Ovis aries: one gene and its partner. The protein of the gene in region 2 purifies or fractionates together with the protein of the main gene of each other region. This does not show direct contact. Links are inferred from orthologs where the notes say so. Each region holds a gene or a part of one and is shown on either strand. Other genes may lie near its edges. The genes, in order: RIC8A and GNAI3.

The links.
Region 1: the proteins of GNAI3 (region 2) and RIC8A purify together in Homo sapiens (affinity purification with mass spectrometry; 3 studies listed by BioGRID and IntAct, counting the BioPlex papers as one, with this or other methods). This does not show direct contact. The link is inferred for Ovis aries from reciprocal best matches to the Homo sapiens genes GNAI3 and RIC8A.

The regions. Positions count from the first base shown.
Region 1 is NC_056074.1:47,475,050-47,479,462, forward strand, and holds the start of RIC8A (synembryn-A), read right to left. Parts: upstream 3,031-4,413; 5' UTR 2,964-3,030; coding exon 2,880-2,963; intron 2,587-2,879; coding exon 2,539-2,586; intron 2,454-2,538; coding exon 1,863-2,453; intron 1,382-1,862; coding exon 1,290-1,381; intron 820-1,289; coding exon 669-819; intron 1-668.
Region 2 is NC_056054.1:86,784,056-86,788,322, reverse strand, and holds the start of GNAI3 (guanine nucleotide-binding protein G(i) subunit alpha-3), read right to left. Parts: upstream 2,866-4,267; 5' UTR 2,759-2,865; coding exon 2,641-2,758; intron 1-2,640. UniProt on the Homo sapiens protein: Heterotrimeric guanine nucleotide-binding proteins (G proteins) function as transducers downstream of G protein-coupled receptors (GPCRs) in numerous signaling cascades.

The DNA of each region.
Region 1 (4,413 bases), on a different chromosome or scaffold from region 2:
CACGTACTTTCCCCACCTTTAAATGAGGGGTGGAAAACAGCATGTTTAAAGTCGTTAACCACCAGCACACAAGACCATTCCCAAAGCACTGAATCTTAGGCCTGCCGTGCTCCAGCCCGCACGACGCCGGCAAACCCCCAGAGAAGCTGGTCAGAGTGCCGGCCAGTCAGCATCCCAGGGTGCAGCTGCAGGGAGCGGGGGGCTGCGGGCTCTCAAGGGCCTGTGGGTCCTCCGAGCGAAACCATGGCACAGCTGACGCCCATCTCGAGGGCTGCTCGTGCACAAGGACATTCTGAGTCCAGGGGCACAGAGAGGGATGGGGAGCGTGGTGGCACTTCAAGGGGGTAGGGGTGGGAGGCTTCTCAGGACTCCTCAAGAGGATTCACAAAGATGTCTAAGAAATGAGTCCTTTGCCAGATTCTGAAAGCACTTTGCCCCTCATCCCTCTCTGTGCCCCTGGACTCAGACTGTCCCTGTGCACGAGCAGCCCTCGAGATGAAGCCCACAGACTTCTCAGGGAGGAAGATCCGGCTTGACCATGACGTGGGAGGAACCGCCCGAATCACACTGGGGAGGTGATCTCCCCTCACCAGTGTGGACAGCAAAAACACAGTGACCACAGTAGCTGCAAAAACCTGGGCCAAAGCCACAGCAGTCCCCCTGCCCACCTGATGAAGACGCTTCTCCATGAAGCTGAGGAGGACACGAATCACATCCATGTTCACCCCTAGGAACTCCAAGGAACCTCCGTGTGGCTCCAGGGCGAGGAGAACATCCAGACACTCGACAGGCAAGTTCCCCAGGAGGTTCACTGCGTGGCTGGGGGCAGATGGAAGGGGCACTTGGTGAATACCGACCCCTGCTGCCAGCTGCTGGGGCCGTAAATGCCGTGAACCAGTGTCTGGGGGCCCAAGCAGCAGAACAAGGTACCAGAGGCAAGAGTGCTACTTCCTGTAAATGCCCAACCCACCACGTATCTAGGTTGAGGCACCACAGCTAAAACTGAGAACCGGCCTAGGCATAGGCCACCAAGAAGGAAAGTGAGGAAGCACACCACCCTATCGATACCACAGCGCCCGCTGCCCCTACCCAAGGCCCCCTGGCACCGTCCTGCCTTGGACTCACACCTCCGATCCTAGACCATAAGTGCTGGAGCGCCCCAGAAACACACTTTTGTCTGGTTCCACCCAGAAGGATGAAGACTCTAAGGCTGGGAACCACCACAGCGACCTGTGAGCAAACCACCCCCATTCCTCCCCACCCCCCCGCATGACAGGCACCCCCCTCACCCGTGGAACTCCTCTGTGCGGTCTCCAGCAGCAGCAACCATCACACAGTGCCGCAGAAGGGTCCCCAAGTGCCGGTATAGAGCAGTGTCTTCCTGACCAGACAGACAGGAGTTCCTGTGAGAGCGCGCCCCACTGGCCCCACTGCTGCCAACTGAGAGTCTACCTTCTGGACACCCCTGCAAGACCTCATGCATTAACAACTATGCTTCTCTACTGCACACCCTGGTGCTTGTCCTCTCCCAGGAGACCTCAAGAGAACTCTCGGTTAAGAAAATCAATGGATCCCCTTGGCACACAGCTGCTCTGTGCTTCAGCCCCACTCAGTCTCACCACGAAGAATCTCACAGCCTCCCCTGCACACCACACAGCCCTCCAGCCAGGCTGCAAGAGCCAGTTATGCTCTCCAACTCCCTCAGAAAACTTCCTTGAGACCGGTCCAAGATAGGTGTTCCCTGCTTCTCTCGACTGGCTAAGCACACCTAATCCAGAAATTTGAAGGAACCCAGCAAAGCAGCATGTGCAGGAAATGTCCAAGCTGTTAAACCCCACCCACAGGTTGAGGTCCGCCCTCACCTCATCCACCTCCCTCTTGATGGAGTCGAAGGTGATGTTGAAAAGCACTTTGAGGATCTCCATGGCTCGCTCAGTCTCCTGGGGAGGCAGGAGCTCAGGGTGCCTCTCGCCCTCAGTCATTCCCAACGTCAGCTCCAGCGCCCTGGTCAGCAGGCGCACTCCCTGCAGCTCCTGAAACAGCTGCTGGCGCACGTCGGTGCGGAGTGCAGTTAGCAAGAACAGAAGACGCAAGTCAAAGAACTGGACGTCGTGCGGGAAGCTACTCCGGCTGTGCAGTCCGACGCGCTCTGCGAGCCTCACCACTAGCCCCGCCTCTGCTGCCAGGACCTGTGCCCCGGGGCTGCTTAGCACGAGGTTGCACAGGCACTTAAGGGACTCGAGTACGACATCCACGTTCAGCGGCTCAGGGACCGACCCTTGGGAGGCGGAGATGCCAGCATAGCAGGCAAGAGCCTGCAGGCTCCGGCGACTGGTGAAGGAGTCCAGGCAGCTGCGGTCCCTGGACAAGATGCGGATGCTCTGCAGCCAGATAACGCGGCGGGAGGGTGGCAGGCCCTGCTCCAGGACCGAGACAAGCAGCTTCGCCAGTCTCTGCGGGCAGGGAGAAGAGCCGTTCCACCAGGCCCTTCTACCTGGGCCACCCAATCACGCCCCTCCACCTCCGGTGAGCACCCACCTTCCTATCCTCCTGTTGCGCATCATCAAACGTGAAACTCTGGGAGTTCTGCAAAGAAACCCAGAGGCTAGAAGGCACAGGCCTACCGCGTCAGAACCCGGGTTCCGCGGATGGGGGCCTGAGGCCGAAGGCACCTCTATGAACAAATGGCGCCCCAGCCCCACACACCGGCACCCTCGCAACTCCTCAGAGAGTCGGTGCTCCTCCCCATCGCTCTCCCTTCCACCCTCAGCCCCTTGCCACGCTCACCGCTCTCGCCGCCCCTCCAGCCGGCCACGCGCGCGGGCCCCACCCGGCCCCACCTCCTCTCTGCACGTCCCAAGTCTACAACTCCCGCTCACCTCCCGGTTGTACGCGCGCAAAGCTTCCATAACCACGTCCTCCTCCCCCGTCTCCAAGGCATCCGCAACTGCACGGGGCTCCATGGCACCTCCAGGACCCGATGCCAGGAAGGCCGGAGGCTCCCGGCTTCGCGATTCCGGGCAAGCGTCTGCCCGCCCCGCCCAGGCTCGGCGCGCGGGGGAGGCCGGGACGGGGCGTGCGCGGCGCCGTGGGGCGGGGCCTGGGTTGCGCGCAGGGGAGGCCGGGACCGGGCGGGCGCCGAGCTCTCTGGGTTGCGTGGAGCCTTAAAGGGGCGGGGCCTGGGCTGCGCGCGTGGGAGGCCGGGACGGGGCGTGCGCGGCGCCGTGGGGCGGGGCCTGGGTTGCGCGCAGGGGAGGCCGGGACCCGGCGGGCGCAGAGCTCTCTGGTCTGTGTGGCGCCTTAAAGGGGCGAGGCCTGGAACAGCTGGATAGAACTTGAAGACTTTGCTGCCGAGTCAGCTTTGGCCTTAAACTCCGGCTCGGTGATCGTCCGACTTATGGGCCAGAATCGCCCTGAACCGAGCAGTGAGCCTCACTCCTTGGGCTAGGATTCCTGACAGGAGAGGGCCTCAGCCCCGCACCCCTCCATCACACGCACACCAACACCGCTCTTGATGCACAGAACGAATGAAACGTCCAGGGAAAAGTCGAGGTGGAAAGGAGTTTACAACCTCCGGACCACTTGGTTTCTAAACAGATGTTTGAGTGCCTACTGCACGCGAGGAGCCGGGATGCGGGTGAATAGAACCCACAGGTTCCTGCCTTCTTGGCGCTTATGTGCCGGATGTGAAGACTAAAACGGGCAAACAAGACGACGTTAGGCAGCTATAGTGCTGTGATTGAATAACAAAAGGGGCTTGATGGGCTGCAAGGAGATCTGAAGAAGTGCCAGTCAGTTTTTGCTGAGACCGGAGCCTAGGGAGTGAGCCAGGAAAGGCTCCGAAGGAAGGTTCTGCAAGGCAGGAGTGGCCAGTGCGAGGGTGGGAATGGCCGTGGAGGGAGAGAGAAACATCACTGTTGGAGCTGAGAGAAAAGAGAGACGGGGTCGGGGTGGGGGGAAGGTCAGGAGGAAGACAAAGTCTGACTGTGTGCGGTGACTTCCCTGCTGTGTAAGCAGGCACACCTGCTCGTCTGCTTGGGCTGTTTCCTTTTTTGAAAAGCAGAGACGATACAAGTTTCCATTTCAGTGGATTGTCGAGTACATGGCACAGCAATTGCTCCATTACGGGGGGTGGGTAACTTATAACCCATCCACCGGGCAAGAAGGCTTTGTTAAGCATCTACTTTGTCAGGCCCCTTGTCAGCACCGCGTGCAAGGTCAAAAAGCGCTGGCTCCTCCCGTACCCACTCCCCTCACGCTCCCACCCCTCTTCCTGGTTCCTTGTTTTCTTCAGAGGGCTTCACTCCTGCGACTTCTGCACCGCTCGCTCGTTCCAGGCACTGATCTCGTTTGTCCTGCCGGCAGTAACTGGAACCGGGCTTCCCATCGAGTTCGCTCCGGGCCTCAACCCCG
Region 2 (4,267 bases):
TATAAAATGTTATAGATGATATTAAACACTAATTGGTATAAATCTTCCAAATCAAATATTTTCAATTGTCAAACTCAGAAAGTGTACTGGTGGAATCACACCAAAAATGTTCAAATGTCATTCTAACTGCTGTGAAATTTGAAAAGTTAGTTACAAAATGATTTAAAATCATAAAAATGATTTAAAATTTCAAAACCATAAAACATTTGCAAACAGCACACTGCAAGCCTTCCTATGCACTACCATCTGCTTAGGAAGCCCCATATAACATAATTTTGTTTCTTTACAGAATATTATGATTAGACACTAGTATATCAAGAGCTTCTCAATAATACATCTAAAAGAAATTTAAACAAAAAGTAACAAAACAATTATAATACTGCATTCCTCCTGAATTTCTATAGTAACTATAATTGGTAACATTCATTTTGTTAAAATAATAACAATGCCTGCAACTTAGACCAAGTTTGATAGTTTTACAGAGAGAAAGTAAAAATGACTTGCATGTATATCAAAGGAGGTATTCAACAGCAAAACAATTTGTTTACTGTGATGAGTGCATTTTGTTTATAGAAATAGCAAAGAAGATAACTTTAATTTCATATATGGGTTATGTCATGACTCAAGCAAATACATCTCTCTCTGCAACCTGCTTGAATCTGTTCATTTAACTTGCTCAAGAATATTTAAAAAAACTTACTTAAAACAATGAAATTGATTAAAAAGGAAAAGCAAATGTTGTAGTACTTTGATTTTTACCTACTGCTTTTGAAATTTCCTAAGTGATCATGTGTTTAATTTTGTTTTTAATTAAATGCACTATTTATAAAGTCCTGTATTACAACAGCCTAATATCCTGAGGGGATCTCTGATTATGAATGTAAACCAAAATAACCACAGAAGATAAAAACACACCTTTACTTTCATAACCAACTGATTGATAGGAACAATGCTAATGCCTTGAGTACTACAGTTTATATCAAACACCTGAAAGGTCCCAAGGAGCTATGTCCAACAGTAGCTGACACACGCTGGTTAACAGTTTATATTTAAGCATCTACTACGTACCAGGGACCATGCTCATTCACAAATGATACCCGTTATATGGAAGAGTAGCAGTTTGGAACTTCAATTTTTTTTTTTTCATACATTCTGTAAGATTAAGTATTCAAACTGAAGGCTCAAACTCCAGTGCATAACTTCCTCCCTTTATTCAAAAAGCTGTTACCAAGGCTTCTGCAATCTACAAACTGTCAAACACGTTACCATGAAAAGACTAGCACGAGCACCCTGAATGCAGAATAAACCCTGGGTTACGGTGGTGCGTTCTGTCCTCTGGAGCTTCACACCATAAAAATTTGGCACTTCTCCTAAAGCAACTTCTTTTTCCCCAAAATCAACTGTTTTAAAGAGCAAAGTTCTACCGCTTACAGAAACCATTACTTCCATTTATTCTTCCCTAACAGATCCCCAGAAAATACTAACAGTGAAGAAAAAATGTGGCCTGATTTATTGGTAAGCTGACATCAGGGTATTTTATATGATTCATTGAGCTTCTAGAAAACAATTTCTCAAAAATTCTAAAACCAACCAGGCTGAGTAAAATGCATCTGACTGTACATAAAAACTACTTAAAACGAATGTCAAGTAAAATAAACAGTAACTCCTGAAGCCAGTATTTTTCGTTTGAAGAAACAAACAAAAAACCCCAGCTCAACAGAAGTCTGTCACAATCACATCTTTTACAGTAAGTCCAATTCCATAATTTATCCTAAAATAACTGCATTCCCACTGCACACCATCCCTAGCAAATATTCATCAACTCTCACTGTGTAATCTATTGTCATCATCACATCCTATGCCACAAACCTCAAACAAGACAGTCTTTAAATATCCTCAGCTCACACCAGCTCTTATAAAAACAGTGGAAGGAGTTATTAAAAAAACCTTAAGAAAATAAAAATAATAGGAAATAGTGGATAAATACACACAGCCTCTACACTCAAACTCTTTCCCTTTACACCTGAGAACTTTTCAGTTATTTCAACCATACACCTTTATGTTCCTGGATGACCCAGGGTTCCTCCACCTCAGCGAGAGCTCAAAATGTCCACTCTTTAAATGACAGGGTCCTACGTGACCACTCTGTTCAAGACCCCCTCTCTATTTATATTAATTATTCAAGGCCCGCCCCCCAGCTCTAATGTCATAAAGTATCACCACGCTCCAAACTCACAATCCATTATACAAGCCCAACACACTCTCCCGTTCTCAACACCAACTCACTCTAACCCTTCCCTTGAAAAACCTTCTCTAACATCAGCTCTTCCTTTATGAGCTTTTCCCATATTCCTAATACAGTCTCAATGTCCTACTGGACCACATTTAGAAGCTCCTTCGCTAAACACAATCCCAGCATGGTGGCACACCCTCTTTCCAGCCTAATTCCTACAACCCCAAAACCCCACCCCCTCATCATGCCCTCCGGCACCAGCCACAACCCCACACCCCGCCCCACGTCCGTCACGCCCTCCAGATTCTTCGGGGTCCTCTCCTCCCGCCCGGCCCGACCCCCCATTAGGACTCTCAAGTGCCTGGGCCCTCTAAACCACCCCGCCAGCCCCGCTCCCAGCCCCTCACCGAGTAGCAACAGCTTCACTTCTTTGGCCGCTTTCTCCCCGTCCTCCCGCAAGTTGCGGTCGATCATCTTGCTTCGCTCCACCGCCGCCTTATCTTCGGCGCTCAACGTGCACCCCATGGCGGCGGCGAAAGAAGGGACCGGGCCGGGGCTCACTCAAAAACCGCGGAGACTGCGGCTTGGCAGGCGGAGACACAGTCTACTGCTGGGCGGCGGCCCTCTCCGTCAGCTCCCAGGGCGCCCAGAGAAACCGGATATCCGGCGTTTTACGACACTTCCGGCAACGCCCGCGGCCGTTACTTCTTCGACCTCCTTAGCTGGGGTAAAGGAGGCGTAACCAAAAGCGGAAGTACGGGGAGAGAGAGAGACCAGGACGCCGAGCGTCGGTTCCGAGGTGTGGGGCGGCCCTGTCGAGCTTACCGGGCGCCGCTCGACTTTAATCCCCTTTCACCTTTTTGGCTGTCTTATTTGGATGAATATAGAGATACCAGGGACTGGTTTCTCCGGTTCAAGGCACCCTCCCGAGGTCGCACGGCCGATTGGCGTGGGGAATGGAAATTCCCAAGTAAAAGCCCGCAATCCGCACGGGAATTTCTGCTGGGAATTTTTCCACTGGCCAGAAAACCAGTTTAATTCTGGCTGTGGAGATCTGAGACCAAGTGTAGGATAGTTTGTCTGTTGGCGTCGTCCCAGCCAGAGCTATGGGATGCGAATTACAGTCGGGGCCTCGACGCAGTCACGCTCCACATCTGGAATAAGTTAAGACCCACCATGCCTGGGACTTTGCAGTCCCTTTCTGCCCTCTCTGGCTCACCTACTGGTACCTAGTGGGCTTGAGTTGCCCAGCTACTATGTCGGTAAAGGATCTCTTGAAATCGGTAACAGATCTTACATAAGGTAAGAATGTGGTTTTTCCATGAAATTTCCATGCTGCCTTTCCCCCACACAAGCCAGATTTAGCCCTGACATATTGTCGTGCGTTAAGGACTTAGGACTTCTACCAAGATTAGTCAACCAAAGTTCCACACCCTAAAACAAACCAGTGCATCCTGTGAATCTCTATTAAAATTTCCTGTTGTGGTAACACACGAAAAGAGAAGTCATAGTAAAATTTGTTTCTCAGCTATAGTATCACCTGGAAGTTGATAAATCCCCTATGAAAGCCCCACACTGATACCCTTTTTACTCATAATCCTGGATTCTGTGGTGAAAGTAGCCCTACGTTACCGTTACTTCCAAAGAGCCCCACAAAAACATTCACCGTACATTCTAGAGAGGGGAACTCTTGCAGCCTCCAAGACCTTTCCCTATGATTAAATATTATTTCCCCAATCGAACCTAGACCTTAGAATATAAGATCCCAACAGAAAGATATATACGGTGACTGATGATCATTAGAGGGATTTCTTGAAAACCACATTAAATAGCTTCATGCACCTTAATTTGTCAATGCCAGTTCTTCAAAGTTCCAAGCCTCCTACTCTTCCTAGTGACTGTTAGAATATCAGTACTTACGGGAAGAAAGGGCAAGACGAAGGGAAGAAAAAACAATATTTATGGAGTACCTATTTGCCAGGTATGGCTAGGTACTTGGATGTGTCATCTCGTTTATTCACAACAACCCTGTGA